Linked DNA regions of Arabidopsis thaliana. The protein of the gene in region 1 interacts with the protein of each later gene in a pairwise test. Each region holds a gene or a part of one and is shown on either strand. Other genes may lie near its edges.

Region 1 (7,447 bases):
AGTCACATATCTACAAACCTTGACTTGTTGCTCCATGAGTGATTCTTCATACCGAAGCAATGGCCTTCCCACGACACAGGGGAAAACAGACGTTGGGAAATTCTCTCCAGCAAATCCACATTTTACATACTGAAAAATTTAATAAGAGGCTCACAATTTGTTCCCATCACAAGAAACTCAAAACTTAAGCAACCCATTATGAGATTTCTCATGTATTAGTTTTGATTTCAATAGAAACACGATCTTACACTATGCTAAGACATGAAAGTTTTCAAATTTTGCAACTTTAAGACAACTAGATCCTAAACAAACTCAAAAGTGAGATTTTTAACGAAACCCAGATAGGAATGGAATGATTGATCAGATTCAACTAAAGTTCGGAGTCTGAAACAAGAGATATCAGAGAGAAGAAGCTTACACCGGTGCCGTTGTCGCAAACGACGACGTTTTTGTTGTCCATCTTCTCCGATTTCTATAGAGACTACAGATTTTTATCGAAGTACAAAAATTTCGATTTCTTCGATTCGATCTCTCAGGGAACAAAAGAAAAAACCTGTCTTTGAATCGAAGCGAAGAATCACTCTTCTCTACTTGTTTGGTCGCGATCGAGAAAACATATTTGCTCTTCGACAAACAAAAAGCAGCTGTTTCCTCGTTTCTTTATAAGAATGCGCGTCGTTTACTCTACGTGAAAACGTCACGTAGTGCAAACGGTCAATACATAGAAAAAATTATTAAATACGTTACCCCTTTTCTCGAATTATTGAGATGGAGTTAACTTGGTTGTGGGTATTGATGGGCTATCTCAGGCCCATATTAGGTCAAACAGATAATTCTGTTTACTTGTATAACAATCTTCTAGATGATCTAAACTAAGAATTAGTAAATGATCATCATGCAATCCCTTGATCAGAGATTTCAATCACTATTAGGGTTATGTTACGAGAAAGATGTTACTAGGGTTTTGGTACGAAGTTGGGATATCAATCTTCTTCTAGGTTTTTTTGTTGTCTCTATGTTGTCTCAATACTAAAATTTATTCTACATAACATGTTGTAAATTAAGTTCCTGTCACAACATGTTATGTATCAGTCACCAATATAGTAAAAATAAGATAAGACTTTTACAGTTTCACACACACAAGTCCAATGACTTGTTCGATGTAAAATCAGCTTTCATGTTTTCACTTTTATATAGGTTAATTAGGACACACACTGTCTCTCATGCTTACTGGAACATTGCTAAGCTGCTTTATTTAGTTCTGGTAAGAACAAAACTGCATGTCTTAGACCTCAAAGTAACCACGCGTTTCATCTTCACTTCTGTATATTGAAATGGAAGAATTCGTAGACAAGTCAAGCTCCTTGCCCAATGTGTCGAAGAGAATGGAAATTAAAAGAGTAAGCAACTTAAGTCACGCTCTCATCATGAGGGAGGCTTTGGAATGGATCTATTGGAGTTGTATTTGGACCATAGTGTTGAGTTAGATCATTGCTCAAAAGGGAAAGAGAGAGCTTTGTGAATGTTTTTGAATTTTCTTCACTTGTTTTGATTGGTTGGACAAATCATAGAGATCAAGCAACTTTTTGACTCGTTAACCTCTCTCTCTCTCTCTCTCTTAGTCTCTTTCCTTAGTTCCGTCAAATTCAAGTCAAAATGAGTAAAATGATATAAACTTTTTGACTCGTTGAACAATTTATACTTATCTTTGAAAAAGCTTGCAAGGCAAAGAGTAAATGCAATACCAGCTTATTTGGTTCCCAACTGCGAAGGGTTTGTACCTAGTTCAAAACCTTCCCACAGTTAACGGCACACTCAGGGCAATAACATGAATGTAAGTAAGAGTTAAAGAATACAACGTTACCATCATTGTGAAATCCATTGCAGCTCAAAGCCACTGAATCAGAACATGCAGCGAAGTGTTTTACACTCGACTCTAAACGAAAGTCTTTAACTCATTCAGAGAGATCGAACGAAAGAGAACAATCTTTGGAGATGCAATAGAAGAATACTGAGCAAAAGAGAGCTATAAATCTTCATTCTACAAATATGTGATGGAAGACAAGTATACATTACCATTGTTGTACTATCTGAAAAAAGCCGGTTTCTTGATATTCAAAAGCAACAAAACTCAGAACAAGTAAAAACAAGCCTCTCTGCAACTTAAAGACTCCAAACAAAAAAATCTCTGGCTGTGTGTATTCAACAAACTCCACCTGCAAGTTCAAACAACAACTGCCAAAAAATTGTCACAAACACTCGGAAAAAAAGGTTTGAAGATTCCACTCTCTTGTATCATCATCCTCAAATTGAACTCACCTTGTGTTTTTGCAGAGGTTTCAATAAGTATAGATTATCACTCTCACTCAGTATATAACCTTTTCTTTTTCTTCTCCATGGTGGTACAAATTACAACAATATTATCACAAAACAAAAGCCAAAAGCTTTTTCAAATCCAGAAGATACAAAAAAAAACCCAATCCTTTTAACGACCTGAGCCTTGAGAATCATCTTTCTCACCACTCTCTTGCTGATGTTCTTCATGGTTATGATGCATATGGTGAAGAACCCTACCTTGAGCTTGAGCCTGAGCCTGACCCATCTGTTGATAAATCTGAGTAAAAGACTGAGGATTCAAAACACCAACATTCCCTTCTTGAGACAAGCCTAACTCAAGTCCAGGCATCTGATTATGATTCCCACCCAAAATAGATGCAAAACTCATATGACCAACACCAGGAAAATCAAAACCAGGAAACCCAATTCTATAACCAGCTCCTTCACTCATTAAACCAGTGGTTGGCACACCAGAACCAAACCCAGCTACATTTGGCCATAACCCAGTTGGTAAACTTGACCTAGAAACTCCTTCACCGCCACCAATCCCCCAATTTAATGGTCTACCACTACTACTAGACCCACCATCTAAGTCATGACTGATCATTAAACCAGCAGTAAGAGACCCACCTTGATGATGGTTAGAGGTTGCAGCTGAAGAAGCTAAAGCAGAGGCCGGTATAGTTCCTGAACCAGTAGCTGCAATAATCGATGGCTCAGCTTGTTGAAGCAGCCACTGGATAGTTTCACCATCAGATTTATGACCCAATTCTCTAGTCAATTGAAAAATCCTAGCAGCACAAAGAGCAGGCATCCGAATTCGTCGACCTCTACCTTCGACTTTAGTGTGTCTGTCTTTGTTAGAGCTTCTCTTAGGACCAAGCTGGTTCTGATTCTGACTCTTCTTGTTTGGTTCTTTGTCGGAAGCAGAGACCACGATCTGGAAATCTTTAATCTCAGTTGTTGGTTTGCGATTCTCGTCGGAAACAACAGCAGAAGCAGCATCATCATCTACCAAACCCTGATTTCGCGGTGGTGGTGGTGGGTTCAAGAAATTTGGTACTTGGTGACGATTTAGGTTCTTGGGATCCATCGAAGCTTGCTTGTGTGGGGACTTCAGGGTCCAGAGACTTAATTTAATCAAAAATTCTCTTGGATTCAATTAAGGGTTTCAGAATTGTGACGACTTTGTAAAACAAAAGGTATCGAGTTTTTTTTTTTTTCTTTGGGAATTTACGAATTTAATGTTTAAAAAAAAACCCAGTAAGATCCCGATGTAGAATTTGAGGAGAATAAAGAAAAAATGTTTCTTTTGATCTCGAAATTGGTCAAAAAAGAAATGAGAAAACACTTTAAAAGTATGAGACTTTAGTTTTGTCTTTTTCTTTTTTATTCTTGTTTACTTTTTGGTTTGGTACTTTAAATAACAGAGAGAGATAGCGAGTGAGTGAGTCTCATAGGTTTCTCACCAAACAATGCAATTTTTAAGACCATAAACAGCAAAGTAACAAAACGACACATAAAAGAAAAAGTAGTGTGACCGTTTCACTTTCACATTTAATCCAAAGGTAATTGAGAGTCTAACAACTGCCACTTCATTTCCCACTAGATACACAGTGACGGATCTAAAATCTATTTTTACATGGGGCATAATTATATGTGGAAATCAGGTTTCAAGTTAGATTTACCTGAATTTTATGGTACTTTACAAACAGAAGAGTTCCTAGATTGGATTAGCACGACGGAAGAGTTGTTAACATTCAAAAATGTCCCTCATGAGATGAGAGTTCCTCTTGCTGCAACACATTTTAAAGATCGTGCTTTAGCCTGATGGTAACAATCCAATAACAGTTGATATATTCAAAAAAATCTCAATAATTACTTTTTAAAGTTTGTAAATTATTATTATTAAATAATTACAATGTGTAGAAAATTAATCCCTTTAGAACATAATTTTTTTTCAGAAAATCAATATTTTAGAAAAAGAGTAAGTACTATTGAATACATTGTTGCTTCGTATATATCTCTCATTCTGTCCTAAACGAAAAAAAAAAAAAAAACTACAACAGTAGTCAAAGTCAACGTCTTCCCTAAGAAGGAAGTACTTTTAGCTAGTCCATCAAGTGGACCAATGACATGTTGACAATTAGCCGGTCCACACAGGGTTTGGTTCGCTTGTAGGGCAAGATCTAAAGGTATTGAATGAGTTTGAGAGTTTCATCATTTATGGACCGACAACATTATACCATCTCTCTTTTTTTTTTACTCATTTCATCATAACTACTCATAAGTCTTAGACTTCAATTAATCTTAATGAGTTAACTACTCTCTAGCTTTACTTAAAGGCATTAGTCTTATATTAATGACGCCCATAATCACGTTTAAATATCATACACTAACACATGTCCAGTCGTCGTCGATTGATTTCCTGCTTTAGTAATTGTGTGTCAACATTTACAGTTCATTTGTTCAAAAGAAATAAAAAAAAGTTTATAGAATTATAATAGTTAAAACATTCAGTTTTTGCAACTTTGCAAAAATAAAAGAATAAAAAACAAAGTAACAATATTGAAGACATCACATAAGTGTGATCATCTAATTCAAAGTTGCATTATACGTTTCAAAAATGATTTACTTGTCATCGTGAAGAGATTGTGTTGCGGATCTCACAATCAATGAACTTGAAAGTGGTGAGGTGAGGTAGAGTCGTAGAGACATTTAGTTTTGAAGGATATTGTTCATTCGCGATCTAAATGTGATAAAGTGTAGCTTGAGCTACCAACTTCCTTAATAGAGACGTCGTTAAAAAAGTTAGTTTGCTTCCAAAACTCAAAACTGTCCTTCCATTTGCTTTCATCTCTTGGTTGGCAATCAAGGATAGACTCTCAATGGAAACTAGAACGCGTCAATAGGGTTGTGTTCAGTCAAGCAGAAAAGCTGCGTGACCACCTATTTTTTGCTTGCCCATATTTGTTTATGGTTTGGTTAAATATTGTGGACGATCTTCTGCAAACATTTTGTAAAACTTGAATACAATCAATGCATTTAATTTTCAATTTCAAAATCACAGTATTCTATTTGTTTAATTATATAGAAATGATGTTTTCATCTAACAAAATGAATAAAATGGACACACATTGTTACAAGATAATCTGTATCCATTTAATTCAACCTGTCCATATCCTTCATTTATGTTTACCCTCACCATTATTTTCATTTAAAATTGTTTTTTTCTCAATGATTTTTAAGAGTTTGTGCCACGATTATCTCCACCAATCGTGCCCCAATTATGGTAAATTGTGATTGGAGTGTCATCATTACAAATTTACAGTTGCTTAGCAGTTTTTAAGATTAATAATTCCACTACGCCAACCTTTCAATGTATTTAACACATTGAGATAACCTTATTTAACTTCTTTAATGAAATTGTTCTTCATATCTTCTTATTTTAGTCTAACAACTATATAAAACCAGAATTTCACATATATCAACTTTACCATACATTTGATGATCACATCATTGGACTTAACTTATTTTACGAGAGTGGCATGCATCATAGTATATATTAAATTTAAAACATTTACTTGCATGATAAGTTGTAGTAGTTTTAAACTTGGTAATTTTAAACTATCAATATGAGGCTAATTGGAATCGTTTCAGTACATTATTTCATCTGCATTCACTCCTTATGATGATTGAACAAGGCAAATGTTCGTAAAACTCTTTGAGCTTGTGAATGAAAGCATTCAAGGAGACAACATCCCGGGGACATACAACAACATTGACTAAAACATTTGAAGAGATTTGCAACAACATTTTGTTCTTGCGAGCTGAGATACTAAACATATCTACACAACATATGAAGACAACTGTTTCGATTCTGACGGCCACAAGACTCTCGGATAAGTTTCCTTTTGTATGACTCACAGTTGCGGTTGCGATTATGACCACAGTGGCATCTCTATCTTGCTGAGGACGGTCCAAAGTACATACAAATGGGAGGGTTGATCCTTAAGATTGAAAGGATTGCGGATGGTATAGTCCAGATCCCATCACCACAGATCAGTCCTGATGCTACTGCACCTGCAAAGTCCTCTGCATCTTTCCTGTTGATCCGTTCCCATACGAACAATATCACAGTCCCAACAAACATGTCAATGGCGAAGTAAGCTCCAATGTAGAATGGGACAGCCATTGCCATTGGGATCGGGATGAACTGAGAGATCTTAGGCGGTGTAATATCTCTTAAGAGATTCACAATCAAAGCTGCTATGAAAAACCCGTAACAAAGAGCCAAACAGTGCTTAGGCAATTCAGCAAAGCCCTCAATTCCGAGAATCGCCATTTCACGGAAAATCACTGCGTAAGGTGCTTTGTACGGACCATTGGGATCTCCAATGTCAAAGGCAGTCCAGAACAGCCAGAATGTGAGTGGAGCGATTACACAGCCCATTGCGGTTCCCACGAGCTGGCTTACAAACATGGACTTTGCAGATGATAAAGTGAGGTAACCTGTTTTGAAGTCTTGCATGAGATCAGCTGCGGTGGAGACGATTGACATCATAACACCACAGGCAGCTAAACCCGCAATGACACCACCATCACTTCCTACAACGGAAGCGATTATGAAAAGACCGATCTTTCCATAGGTTGATGCTAGGCTCCAGTCTGTGAGCCCCGTTCCATAAGAGTTGCAGAAGGCGAGAGCGGGTGCAATGAAATAAGAACACAGGACAAAGTACCATTTCAGTGGTGGAAATATTATTGGGATTGTGGCAGTTGAGATAGCTGCAAGACCCACATAACCAGCAATCGCAAATTCAAGGGGTATACGGTCCTTCAGAAACACTTCATCTCTTTTCTTCTTCACCAGCAGTATCTCAGAAGCTTCACTGTCATCTGAATTACGGCATTGGAAAACATACAGTTAACAGTCTGTGGAAAGTGCCCATGAGAGGATCCAAGTTATTGGTTAATACAAAAGCATGTAAGAGATGAGTCAGGATCTAATATTCTCTCACCTACACCGTCGGTAACAATGGGTAGATTGAGTCGTCTAGACCTGCTGCTGCATAATTCCTTCACAGTGACAGCGATGATCTTGACAAGA
Region 2 (7,447 bases), on another chromosome or scaffold:
TGTAAGTCAAAAAGAAGACCAATGATATCCGAAAGCATAGTTGTTTATAAACTATCTATGTTTGCCAACTTTACCTCTAGCTTTATTACCGGTTTGATACAAGGAATAGTGCTAGCTATAATTGCCAGATTTGGATTCGAATGTAGTATTTTGCCTGACCCAATGAGTTATGTCGCATGACATGAGTTTGTCAACTAAAATTTTTATTTTTACAATATCCACGCATTTTTCATTTTGATGATGATACAATCAATCGGTCATTGGCAATAGATTACAAATGATATCTACACGTCCACAACGGTTTCGATGCCTAGATTTGGTGTTTGGGAAGTATTTGAAAGATGATATTCCACCATTAGAATATGCTTAAAATTCTTCTTAAAATTGACGTAATAAATTGATCTTTCTTTAGATATAAGCTTATTTTTCAATTTAAAAACGGAGCTTTTGTATGTATTTTCTAAAATAATATAATGTTTGTCATATGATTGTAGTTGTCTAGGGACTAGGGGGTTTGGCAATTACTTGATTCTCCCGGAAGATCTTTTATAACTTTGCTTCTCTTTCTAACATTCTGGCTTCCTTTTTTGTTTTTGTTAGGTGAATTTGATAACGACCCCGAAAACAAAACCAAAATCATTATCACCGAGATTTCTTTTTATAAGCAAAATAATATGAAAATACTAAAATAAATGTTCCATCTAATACAGATTTGTGTCAAATGGATTTCCCGTATGATTCAATATATGATTTGACTTGGTATATGATCATTTTAATAGTTATCTGTGTAGGCCAAATCATTCTTCAGTCAAAACATGTACATATTTAGTCAAAATCTAGAACATAGAAAGGATTTATGTATATATTTAATATGTTTTCTCAAAGTTGCTATAACATTTTTGCGAATATACCTTAGGTTTGTAAGAATTATATGTCAAACGTAATTTTATGACTATATTGAAAGAATGTTTTCCAAGAACACTCCAATGCAAATTTTACCAGTGATGATAATTGTGAATGTGTCATAACATTTAAAACCTTTAAGAAACGTCTTTAAACTAAAAAAAAAAAAACTACTGTATTTGAAGTGATTTAATACAAATTGAGTATGATAATTGATAATGAAAAGATTCGAGATTGGACATATCAGTTGAATTTCAAAATTTAAGAATAGTTTTCAAATAGGAAACTGAAGTTACATTGGAGCGCGCATGTTGAAATTTCAGAAATCCACATGTTCTATGATCTCATGACTCGTTCATCTCATGATTTCAAGTTTCAGCTAAATTCAATGACTTTGGTATATGACACAAATGCGCTCCCAAATAATAGTATTGCTTATTAATTCAGAAATTTGGTCCTCTTGTTCCTCATAAAATACTTATATATAGAGAATCCACTATTACTTTGTTGCCTATACTTTCATTTGCACAAACACATTTACAAGTTAATATATAAAGAGATCTTTTTCTAAGGTTCTTCTTCGCATCCTTCTCGTTCCTTCAAATTTTTTTTGTAATTCATTCACTCTTTATAAATCTGAGATTTGATATATAATTTTATTATTGTTTAGTATTTTCTTTTTATTTTTCGTTTTTTGAATTAAAACATTGTTTTCAGTTTTGATGGTAGGGGTAATATTATTGGTCCACAGTCTATGTTTCCATGTGTGTGTGGATAAGATAGAAAGCAGAAGCAGTCAAATCTTTTATTCGGGTCCATTCTCTTAGGACACAAGGTTAGATCTCAACTTGTTTTGTTTTTTCTTTACTTGTTCACACACATAGATATTCGTCGTCTACAACTTGAACCTTTTATATCAACACCCTTACATTAAATTTCCGATTCTAATTTCTTCATCACATATGAGCTTGTAACTTTTTTTTGTAATTTTTGATTATTAAGATATAAATCAGTAAGAAGTTGACCATTTGAACTTGTCAATTTAATACTTAAGTTTCCCAAAAGCATATGTATATATTATAATCAACATTTGGGAGATCAATCGTAGGCTCCTAGCTAGAGTTATGTCTTTTTCGCTTCTACATATGATAGTACAAATTACACAGCATAATATCATAATGTAAAAAACTAACCAAAAGAAGAAAATATAATTTCACAAAATGGAAGCGAAAATATGTATCCAACGGTAACACATTAAACATCATCAAATATATAAGCAAGCCCAACTGTCTCATTCTTTCATGAAAAAATATGTACATGCAAATAAGAGAGACAAAATAAGATCTTAAGTTACATATAAGTTTTTTTTTTCTCTACCTCTCTCTCTCAATATATATAATATATGTAGTTATAACAATGATCGATCAAGGCTCTTGCTTAAAGAAAATTGAAGGAAAAATCTCCCTCAAGAGCTCATACTCACCCCCTTGATGATACACTTGGTGAGAACTAGGGTTTGAATTCACACTACCATAACCACTTTGTCCATATCCATAATCCAAAGCCGCCGCCACAGAACCGCCGTTAGTATAAGCTGCCGTCCTAAACATATCATGTGCAAAGCTTCTTGGAGTCATGAGGTCTGCGGAGAACATAGCAGCCGCGGCAGAACTTCCTCGAAGATTAGTCGGAATCGGGTGGTTGTGTTGACCCTCGTAAGTTGTAATCACAACCGTTGGATCTTGGAACGATCTCTCCACTCGTTTCTTCACGTTGCACTTTTGTGTTGTACATCTATAGTAACTCCTATTTTCGTTTCCATTGGCTATTATCAGTTACACTATAATGGTCGCATTTTTCTAAACACAAATTTTCACAAGCCTAGCAATTTCAAAAAATAAAAAGGGAAAGTTTAGTTACCTTGGATAAGGGCTATTTTTTACAGCCTTTTGGCCGTATTTTCTCCATCTATAACCATCTTCAAGATGATCAACTTCACTTTTAGTCATAAACGAGACTCGTGGCTCTCTTTGTTTCTTCACCTCAGTCTTTTTCGTTTTCCCACTGAAAAATAATACACTATAAAATTAATACACATGCTAGACTAAATTCCTAAACGAAGAGATCAAATGATGTTCAATGTTTTGCATAAAAGTTCCTATAGAGTTATGACTTACACTTTTTTGGAAATTTGATCTTCTTCACCGACTAACTCTCGTTTCCTCCGGCTCTTACCGGAATCTTCACCGGGGTGATCAGCCTCACTAGAGGAAGAATTAGAAGGAGAAACCCTAGTTTCAGTCTCGTTGCATGCACCACCATTGATTACGTCATTAGTAACATCACGGTTCGGTTCTTGATCGATCGAAGAATTGAAAACCTCTGAGGAAGAGGGAGAAAGACCAAAAGTTTTCTGAAGTAGAGATTCATACGCTGCTGGAGAACTTTGGAGACAATCGGTGAAGGAATAAGTAGATGGATTAAAACCGTTTTGTGATGGGAGGTTTCCATAAGAAGATGGATTTGAAGTAGGCAGATTCATCATTTCGTGCAACGAAAACGATGAAGGGTATTGGTAGTTGTAGAGATCTCTGGTTTCATTAGACATGGTGAAGAACAATGAAGAGAGAGGTAAAAAAAGAGTAAAGAAGACAAAGAAGAAGAGATGAGATAAGCCTTTTAGGTTTGGGGATTAGGTTTTTAGGTTTTTTTCCTAAGAGGTCTAGATTGGTGCTTGGACTTTAATTTGGTCTTCGTCTCTCGTTCTCGTATTTATGCATTTTGAAACTCAAAAAAGGAAGAGAGAGAAGAATAATATGATTTTGGCTACTTGGTTTGGAAATAAGTTAATTAAGTAAAAGTGTATTGAGATATAATTCAATGGTACGTGTGTGAATCCAAAGTCGTGTTAATACTTTTATTTTTCTATCAACTTTGTTTTTTCTTGTTTCTTAACTAATCTCAATTTAAGTTGTGTAATTTTTTCCTATGCAAATTAATTTATATGTTAAAAGCTTTCATAATATTTCTTCCTCACGTTATTTTATCAGTATAATTTTGAATTCATATACAAAAAGGTTCAAATAAGTCTTTTTAATGTTTATCAGTCAAATGTACATAAAGTTAATTATAAATTAATAATGTGAACGATAAGCAACTTAATAGATAGGTATATATATATATATATATATTCAAGAAATAAGATATAGAAGTAGATGATAATTTTATTTGTGATATCATGTTATGCCTTTTGAATGACTTTTTGGTTTCGGGCAATAAGAACTTTACGTAAAGCTAAGTTGACAAAAATAGAGCTGCAAAACTGGCTTCTAGTGAGGAAACATACTTAAGCTTCTATATTTTTAATTCAGAATATGCTTACTTGCAAGTATTTCTATACCACTAAATACATTTCTTCGAGTCTTTGCATTGTATCTTCGTATAAATTTCCTAAAATTCTACTTTTATTTTTCCACATTTGATAAACATGCATAAATTTTGGGTTATTTTTGTGTGCTGCCTTTTTTATGGGGCCAAAAAGTAGGACATGAAAAGTTCTCACCTTCATTTTCTTCCCCACTCTATACGTGGCATATATAGTGGACGGGCTTGATAACACGCGCTACGACTAAACGGCGCGTGGAAGAAGACGACGTTATTGAAGGAGTCTTAGTCAGCGAAGACTATGTGTTACCGGAAACCGGAAACACTCAGTCACCGGCCGGTCGTTTGGTGTGAAGAATGCAGTAAGAGGCAGTCAAAGATTCAAAGGGAAAAAAGTTTACGAAAACAAAAGATTATATTTTGGGAGTATTAGGCTGCCACGTGGAAACACTTGCACCGGCATTTGACCGTCGCCGACACATGACCTGGCACGTGCTAGAGACTGTCTTCTCTTCTTCTTCTTCTTTTTCCCTCACTGTTTCACGAACCTTAATAATTATTCATAGGTAATTCCTAGTCAAGAAGCAATAATTTAGACCCTACATATTTTGGTTATAAAATATGAATATATGAATCTCTTGATATTCAAATTATTTTCATGTTTTTAGTGTAAGATTTGACCCAAAGAATCATACATTGCTAATAATTTGCTATAACATTCAAAGAAAATTAGTTACTATGGGACTTTAAGTGACGTAGCTATGTGGAGTGGATCGTTACTTATGCTGACGGATAAGTGAGATCATGATTACGCAATAACAATTTCTTTTTCACATTAGAACTTTCTGTTTGCAAGTAAAAGAGCATCTTAATTTATTAACTTATATTAAGGAAAAGATGGTCAAACCAAAAGTATCTATATTATGAAAATGTTAACATTATGATAATTACGATAAACCCTTTATATACAATTTTATTTGCGATAATTGTGGGGAATTAAAGTTGCATGTTATGAACCCTATGCTTGATTTATATAGCTAGTAATCGTTTTCATGAGTTTGTAGAAATTGATAGGAGCATATGATCAGGAAAAAAGGAGACATATAATGCCTAACCGACATGACAAATGCGAAGGGGACATACATCAACTTTAAATGTGGTCAAAGTGATATATTTACTACTATGAAAAATCACTAAAATATGGCAAGATAAAAACAAATACTAGCATCTTGGAAGAAATCGGTTTAATCACTAAAAATTTGATATGTCATGGTCTTTTGGTCACAATCCATTTTTTTGGTAGGTGAAGGATTCAACTCTTTTTTTTTTTTTGGTCACACCTAAGTTTTTGGATTACAAATTATCGTGAATTACGTATGATGATCTTAATGCGTTTAATAATCACTGCTATATTACCTAGCATATTACGGATAGCGCGAGAATACATACATATATATAGTCAGTGTCTCAGTGATACTCAGTATAAAATATTGGAATGAATCAAAATACTATGGCTTTGGTATATAAAAATTTGATCAATGAAAGAAGGGCATAATAATTTCCATGTTTTTAACGCTTTTTGGTCAAAACAAACTACGATGAAAAACGTTTTCGAGAAAATCAATACCAATCTAGTAATCTTTGGTCGAAATAATTAAGAAGACCGAATAATTCTCTTTGAACCAAAAGAGACATTAACCATTCACATTTGACCAAGAACATCAAGGCGTATACATACTTTAATTTGGGAAAGAGAAACAGCAACTCTTATCAGATTCCATATGAGTAATAGAATAATCTCTAAACCAAAAAAAATTCAATCTTCGAAGTCAAATATATATTCAATCTTCTATTGCATACTATAATAATGCCATAATGGTGGTATATGAATCTGTTTCTCGTACCTAACCACATTAATGCATACTAAGATATATATTAATACACATTTATAGTTTTAATTTAGGCAGAAACTAAACGCCGTAATTGGTGCCTAATCGTTTGCGTTGTCTTATCCATAAGCCCCACATTTAAATTACCCAAAGTTAGACCGTGGACCTCTATGTAATTTGTAACCTGTAAGTGAAAAAAAAACATTAGCTTACAATTACACGTATACATAACTGTATCTGTCTGCAGTTGAAATGTCTGACCTATTTTTGGGGATTTGTGCCTAACATATAAAGATATTATTATGAAATTTATTTCTACTTTCTAGTAAACACATAATTATTACATTATTTAAGTTTCAATTTAACGTAAAGAAGAATAAAAAGAAAGAGAGTGAAATTGTTGACTTTAGCTTTGGAATAGAATAGTTGGGGCAGGTTTGTTGTTAGGTTTGTCATGTGTGACATTTTTATCATTATTATTCATGTTAGTATATATAAAATATATATGAATAAAAAGGAATCTCTTGTATTTTCTGTTCTTTCACACACGTTATCCTCTTTCTGAAATTTGAGTTGTTACAGCTGATTAATTTAATATATATGATATTTGTGTATAGATTATCAAGAATAAGAAAATGCATTTAAAAACAAATAACCGAAAAGACTAAATTTTTCATTAATTGGTATTGATATTAGGACATCAATATGTTGAGTAACTATACATGGTCGATTACATTACAATGCGAATTGAAATTCTCTTTAACTGGAAAAGAACTAATATGAAAAAGCTGATGATGTATCAGTAAAACTCTTTTAAAACTGTTGATAAGAAATTCGAATTTACATATTTTAGATTGGAACTTGAAAGTTACAGTTTTATTTGCATACTGGACCAACAAATTTGGATCAAACCTTATCCAACCAAATTTATATACCTTGAGGCTTGAGCCCATATATCTGCAAAAATTACAGGGGGTCATCAAAATCTCATCGTACCAGAGTAAACCGATCACATAACCATTTGGCAACACATCAAACCGGTTAAGATAAAATCCCACAATTCCTCTTCATAATCTTGGGTGAGAAAGGAGAGGATAACTTTTGGTGATGTGAATCAGTGAATCCTGCTTAACCAATTATGCAAGACAAGACCAAAGACATAATATCGGTCCAAACCAGTTTACATAAACTGGAGACTGGACTCCTCATCATCACCATTAGCATCATTAGGATCGTTGATCCGTTGTAATTAGTAACTGTAATTCTAAGCT

The links.
Region 2: the proteins of TCP20 (region 1) and WRKY28 interact in a protein complementation assay, tested with the Arabidopsis thaliana proteins (one study listed by BioGRID).

Annotation. Positions count from the first base shown.
Region 1 is NC_003074.8:9,955,325-9,962,771, forward strand, and holds TCP20 (TEOSINTE BRANCHED 1, cycloidea, PCF (TCP)-domain family protein 20), read right to left. Parts: upstream 3,622-7,447; 5' UTR 3,431-3,621; coding exon 2,486-3,430; 3' UTR 2,320-2,485; intron 2,236-2,319; exon of another isoform or gene 2,217-2,235; 3' UTR 2,052-2,216; downstream 1-2,051. Other genes in the region: ARP2 (actin related protein 2), read right to left, coding at 19-129, 419-460; YSL6 (YELLOW STRIPE like 6), read right to left, coding at 6,299-7,236, 7,359-7,447. UniProt on the Arabidopsis thaliana protein: Transcription factor that binds to the site II motif (3'-TGGGCC/T-5') in the promoter of PCNA-2 and to 3'-GCCCG/A-5' elements in the promoters of cyclin CYCB1-1 and ribosomal protein genes.
Region 2 is NC_003075.7:10,057,572-10,065,018, reverse strand, and holds WRKY28 (WRKY DNA-binding protein 28), read right to left. Parts: upstream 3,806-7,447; 5' UTR 3,512-3,805; coding exon 3,081-3,511; intron 2,968-3,080; coding exon 2,824-2,967; intron 2,710-2,823; coding exon 2,328-2,709; 3' UTR 2,126-2,327; downstream 1-2,125. UniProt on the Arabidopsis thaliana protein: Transcription factor. Interacts specifically with the W box (5'-(T)TGAC[CT]-3'), a frequently occurring elicitor-responsive cis-acting element.